Linked DNA regions of Cricetulus griseus. The protein of the gene in region 1 binds, or shares a complex with, the protein of each later gene. Links are inferred from orthologs where the notes say so. Each region holds a gene or a part of one and is shown on either strand. Other genes may lie near its edges.

Region 1 (2,262 bases):
ACCTGATCTTCATCATCAGTGACAGTACTCTGCTGGTCAGCACCTGGGCAACACATAACATCTCGTTGCCCAATGGAACCTTCTTGCCATTGTGTTTGACTTTCGGAGGAACCTGCTTCCTCCTAGGACTGACTTTGCGTCTGATGTACTACCTCTGGCTACACCCTCACTGCCGCTGGGAACCTGACCAGGTGGATGGGGCCCGAAGTCTTCTTCCTGTGATAAAGCCTAAGCGGCTTTATAACAGGCGTGCCACTCAGTTAGCACAGAACTTCTTCCCCAAGGACAAAAAGAAGTCCACTCTGCCTGAACAGGTTGGAGAGGTGGAAGGAGTCTTTTGAGGCAGGGTCTGACTCAGCCAGCGAGGACGATGTAGAGAGCTGGGCCTTTGAAGGGCCAAGGGCCAGTCATATACAAGCCATTTTCTCTTCCTTTCCAACCAATAGAGCTGCTGTCACCAAAGCCTCACATTGCCATTCTCACCTCTCAGGTAACTAACTGGTGGAGGTATTCTCTCCTGGGTTCCTTGGCCTGACTATAGAAGGCCCTGGGATGCTAGGAGATGTTCTTGAGAAGTCTTCTCTACCCCCACCCCATCCACTTCAGTTAACAAATGCTGAGAGCACTTTATGTTCTGGGAGCATCGTTCTAACTGTTGAACTGGCCGACACCCTAGCTTCTTTCCCTACCCACTTGAACAAATCTGATCTCAAAGACCAAAGCCAACGGTGACCCTGCCAGCTCCTCCAGTGTCGTGATGCAGCAGTCTCTACTCTGGCTCTTAGGCCACCTTTAAATCAAGTGCCTTATGGACCTGTGGTCTAGGCCATGCACTATCCATTGAGTGTTTTTCATTCTAGCTAGCATATGTCTCTCCTACCTCAGTCTGTGAGAGTAAGTGAACATGTGCACACGTGTTTAACAGTATTATTAAAACCGCATGAAATTCTCCAAACCACTATGTACCAGTAAGTACACTCTATCACCCTTTCTATTACAGTGGCAGGGACCTGGAACCCCTTAAAACTGGTACAGATCCCTGGAATAGAGATATGGGCCGAGTTAGGTATGACTTTGTAATAACTATCTAAATTGTTCTAGTATAATAAAAACTCAGGAGTCAGAAATTGAGATAAAGACCTGATAAACCCAAGGACAACAGAGAGCCCACTGGCTGACCTTCTCCCCACATTTTTCCTTAATTAACTCCCTAGAAATCCTCTCTTCTCTCTTCCTGTCCTCTCTAGCAGACCTCTTCATTCCTTCAAGAACTCTATAGCTAATCCCAGTCAGCCAATCACTGACTCCGTCCTTTGATTCAAGGTGGCTTTGCTGGCACAGTGGAATGGCTATACCTACAATTCTCCCACATTTCCCCTTTCAGTTGGTAGAGCATGGGACTCTTAATCCCAAGGTCATGGGTTTGAGCCCCATGTTTAGCCTTTCTCTGTCCCACTAGCTAGCTCCCAAAGGAGCACAGAGACTTATTAATTATGAAAGCTTGGGCTTGTCCCACTAGCTCTTATAACTTAATCCATTTATATTAATCTGTTTGCCTCATGGCTTTTTAGCTTTCATTCTGTATGTCTGACCCCTCTGTGTCTTGTGTCTCAGGCGCCTAGATTCATGCCTTATTTCCTCTCTGCCGGAAGTCCCGCCCATACCCTCTGACCAGCTGCTGGCCAGTCAGCTCTTTATTAAATCAATCACAACAGTGTATCTTCATACAGTGTACAGATATCTGACAGCATGACTTAATTTTGCTTTCCAAGATGTAGTAGCTCATGAGCTAGAGTGGGTTGCTCATCTGGCAGGCAGCAGAACTCACATCTGGGCAGACTCTAGTGCGTTCTCCTAGCAGCTCTGCTACAGGGCCTGGAGAGTGGCATCCTTAGGATTAGGAGGTGAGTGTGAGGGGCTGGGTGGAAAGTGAAGTACTGGGAGCCCTCCATGGGTAAGAGGAAGTGACTCCTGGGATGTGGATGTCATTGATGGTTCTGGGGGAGGGAATGTTCTTTTCTGGGAAGTCTGTGGTCTGGTGAAACAAGGAACAGGAAAAAGGTGCCAGAGGCAGAGGAAAAGGTTCTCGTTCCCAGTGTTGGGACCCGAGATAGCTCTGCCAGTCACTCATTGGCATGGGGGTAGAATAAAGTGTGACCAAATTATGTATCATCACATAGTGTCACATAGTGTCACATGCTGAAAGAAAAACAGATGGGGAGGTGAAAGGGTGTGTGTTGTGGGCAAGTTATAGCTTTACAT
Region 2 (4,191 bases), on another chromosome or scaffold:
CCCAGGCTGTAGGCTTACCACCTCTCCTACCATGTAATTCTGTCAGACTTGGATGGCCACTGGGAAAGCAACTGCACTCTAGGCTGTGAGAAACCGGGTGTGGAATGCTCACACCAGCCTGTAAGAGACCCTAGTGTTAAACCCCAGCCTCACACACCAGGAAAACAAAACAGAAATGTCCGCGCCACACAGGCCCTCTGAGCAGAGCACCCCGCCACTGTGCAGCGGACAGTGAAAATGGAACATTGCAGGCTGACCTGAGCCCTGCCCAGGCTGTTTGGCTCTTGGGCTGTTCCCAGGAAGGGCTGGGACCTGCCTGCAAGCTACACTTTGTGCTTGGCTCCCGGGCACGGCAAAGTTCTACTTAACCCCAGGCAGGAAGCCACTGGGCCTGTGCCCAGGCAGGGTGGGGAACTGTAGCCTGTACAGGGAGTTTATCAGTGGCATCCACCTTGCCGGAGGGGGCAGTTATCTGCACCCAAGAGCCAGTCACATGGGGGCACCTCAAGATGTTTGGATGAGGAAGAGGGACTAGGGAAAAGTGGGTCAGGATTAACCCGGACACTGCTGCCAGGCACAGCCCCCTCCCAAATCCACTGCTGATGGGGGTGGCAGCCATGTGCCCTGCTTCTTCAGTAGAGCTCAGGTTCTGCCCTTTGCCTGCTCTGTCTGGAGTAGGCAAGAGGGCAGCCATGTGTTCAGGCCTGCTACACTGCCTTCTAAACTCAACCTTGCCATGACCTTGAACACCAGCCTTCCCCACCTTGGCCTCAGTTTCTCTTTTGAGCCCCAATCAGGCAAAAACCCAAAGCTAGAATGGGCCAGACTCCAGGGTGGGGACAAGCTGAGAGTGTTGGGCCTCAGCCACTAGAAATCTCATCAAGAATGATAATCCAACAAGTCCCTGGGACTGTGACCCAGGGCCATTCGCAGGCACTCACTCCAGGGGAGTCCTAAATCAGAGGAGCAACCTAGAGCTTTGATTCCAGCCCAGAGGGGACATCTATCTCCTTCTCCCAGGAGCAAGGACACTGGCCATTGCCAAGGACCAGGGATGACCAATATAGCCCCTGTGGACTATGGCAAGCCCGGGATGTCACTCCAACGAGGACAGGGACAGCTGGGGACATCTGATGATCTAATTGGGACTCTTCCAAACTTAGGGATGGGAAGGAACTGCCACTCTCAGAACTCCCCACCCGACCTCCAGGTAACACCATCAGGACAACAGACTCAATTCAACCCCAGTCCCTCAAGCCTGGGATACATCATCCCCGGGAACCTCTGAACTCCATATCCTCCAGACTCGAGGACATTACTTACAGGCAATGCTGCCCCATCCCATGGCCAACTTACTCTCATTCTTCCAGGCTCCCCAAACAGTGCTGTAGTCCTCCACTCACTAAGTAGAAACATCAATGTGGCACCTTTCCCCACCCCATCCCCTACAGCAGGGCCACCCCCCTCAAGTTGTCTCTCAATGTTTTCCTCTGAGTGGACATACCAAATTATTGGTGGTTTGTTTTTCATTATCACAACCTCAAGGTAGATCCTTACACTCTAGTCTCCCAGTTCCCCCAAACGTTTCAGGAAAGGCTGCCTCTCATCCATCCATAGCCTCCCCAAATTAGGGATTGTCACTCTCTCTCTCTCTTTTTTTTTTTTTGGTTTTTCAAGACAGGGTTTCTCTGTGGCTTTGGAGTCTGTCCTGGAACTCGCTCTTGTAGACCAGGCTGGTCTCGAACTCACATAGATCCGCTTGCCTCTGCCTCCCGAGTGCTGGGATTAAAGGCAAGTGTCACCACGGCCCGGCAGGGATTGTCACTCTTATCCTGTTCCTTGAGCAGGGACACCTTGGGGTTATTTCCTGACATGTTCCCTAGGCTGGGAATCTTCCCACAATGGCAGCTTCCTCAGCCCCTAGGTCTCCCCAAATCTGAAGGAAGCCACCTGCAGCACTGCTGTCCCGCACCCGAAAATGCTACAAATCTCTCCCAGATGTCCTGGGATTCCCTCCTGGCCATGATCCTCCGGCCCCCACCCCACGCCCCGTGCCGTCCCTAAACCAGGAGGCGGTCAATCTCCAGGGTCACCTCCCAGTCCTGACATCCAGGTGTTAACGACATAGTAGCTCCGTCCATGACCACTCAACCTTAGGAGTGTTGTCCCAGCCTCAGGGTCACCTCCACCCACACCCTCTCCAACTCCCCCAAACCGAGGCCAAATATAGTCGCTACTGTACCCCAAACCCCAGGGTCACTTCCCAGCCCTGTTCCGGGAGTGGGGACAGTAAGGCAGCGAGTCCCTCCAATCCGCAGCTGTCCCAAGTCTGGGGTCATTTCCGCTCGTTCTCTCTGGACTGCTTTCCAGCCCATGCCCAGGTGGGGACTACCGCAGGTGATGGCTTCCTCCATCCCGGCCCCCCAACCTTGGAGTATCTCCCCAGAGCCCCGCGGACCCCTAACCTTTTATTTGTCTCTCCAGGGCCGCATCCCCAGGATCACCTCCCTCCACCCTGTCGCCTAGCCCAGGTCGGGGGTCAACTCGAGGGTCACTCGCAGCCAGTTATTCCTCCCCGAGTAGGGAACCAAAGCTGTGGCTCCCTCTACCTGTGGGTCCCCCAGATCTGGATTCAACCTAGGTCCATGCCCCAGCCCCAGGTCTTACCCGCCGCGCAGGCGCCTTGGCCGCACAGGAGCGCGAAGCCGAGGGCCAGCAGCAGCGCCGCCGCCATGTCGCCTCGTCCAAGCGCGGCCCCGCTGCGGCGCTCTATAAGGAGGGAGGGAGGGAGGGGCGCACGCATGCGCGCAAGCACGCACGCACGTACGCGGCGTCGCGGGGCGGGGCGGGGCGTACGGCGCACAACGAATAGGCACGTACTCAGCATCCGCCGCTCGGGTTCGTCCGGTGGATGCCGAAAGCGCGGGGGTGGGGGTGGGGGGGGGAAGCGCTGGCACGTGACCACACAGGCCACACCCACAGCGCGCTGGGATCTGGATCCTCCACCTCCCCTGGTGGTTTCAAGTTTTTTTTATTTCTTTCTTTCTTTTTTTTTTCTTTTGGTTATTGGTGGTGTTTTGGAGACAGGGTTTCTCTGTGTAGCTTTGGAGCCTATCCTGGCACTCACGCTGTAGACCAGGCTGGTCTCGAACTCACAGAGATCCACCTGCCTCTGCAGGTGGATTAAAGGCGAGTGCATCACCACGCTAGACTCTCCTTTTCGTTAAGAGAAAACAAAAATCGGCGGGTGGTGGTGGCGCACTTCTTTAATCCCAGCACTTGGAGGCAGAGGCAGGCTGATCTACAGAGACAAGCTCCAAGACAGCCAGGGACGTCTGGCAGAAAACCGATCTCAAAGAAACCTCCAAAACAAAACAAAACAAAACCCTTCTGTGGGTGTTACCTGCTCTGAAGTCTGAGGCCAGAGGATCGCTTACACTGGAGTGAACATCAGCTTAGCAATATAGACCCAGTTCTCCACCAAAAATAAAAGTGGGAGGTGGGAGTAACCAGGGGTTCGGCAGCAGCCTCGGGGGTCAGCAGCTCATTTGAGGGTATTCACGCCCTCAAATGAGGATCAAGCCTGGCGTCAGAGGGACCACGACAACGTGGTAAATCACTATGGGCCTCGTGACCCACTTACACTCAGCCGCGAGTGCCTCTCAGAGGCTTGGGGGCCTCTGAACTGTCCAGAATCCCCAAAGCCTTCTTGGAGAGGCCAAGCTACGTGCAGAAGAGGGCCAGGGCAGGGGAGCTGCCAGCTGGCCTCAAAGGGCCTTAGGGTCAAAACAAACAAAACTGGGCCGAGTGAGGAATTCCTAACCCCCTGCTTGTTCTGGCCTCTGGGATCCTTCAGGTTGTCCAGGAAGCCCCAGCCCCCTCCCAGGCCGGCCCCTCCCTGACCCAACATGACCTGTAGCCTCCTGAAGTCCTTTTGCCTGACTCTGTCCTGGCCAAGAGCAGCCTGGATTAGCAGATAAAAGTGTGGAAAGCCGTCAGGAATGCTGGTGCATACCTGCCATTCCAGCACCTGGATAGAAGCCAGAAGAATCAGGAGTTCAGGGGGTCTTGGCTACACAGTTTGAGGGCACCCTGTCAAAAACAAAAATCAAACCAACAAAAACAAAAAACACATGCCAAAGAAAAGGAAAGGGAGGCTGGTGAGATGGTTCAGCTGTTTAATAGTGCTTA

Evidence for each region. The genes of interacting proteins can lie anywhere in the genome.
Region 2: the proteins of Xkr8 (region 1) and Bsg are in contact, whole or in part, in a cryo-EM structure (PDB 7DCE), measured with the Homo sapiens proteins. The link is inferred for Cricetulus griseus from reciprocal best matches to the Homo sapiens genes XKR8 and BSG. Residues at the interface, in NP_060523.2 of Homo sapiens: His232, Leu236, Val239, Leu242, Trp243, Leu246, Gln247, Arg280, Gly283, Arg284, Ile287, Phe291, Ser294, Asp295, Leu298, Ala301, Thr302; in NP_001719.2 of Homo sapiens: Trp326, Pro327, Gly330, Ile331, Glu334, Val335, Leu338, Val339, Ile341, Ile342, Phe343, Tyr345, Glu346, Lys350.

The regions. Positions count from the first base shown.
Region 1 is NC_048595.1:20,545,422-20,547,683, forward strand, and holds the end of Xkr8 (XK-related protein 8), read left to right. Parts: coding exon 1-341; 3' UTR 342-1,732; downstream 1,733-2,262.
Region 2 is NC_048598.1:100,513,771-100,517,961, reverse strand, and holds the start of Bsg (basigin), read right to left. Parts: upstream 2,824-4,191; 5' UTR 2,804-2,823; coding exon 2,668-2,803; intron 1-2,667.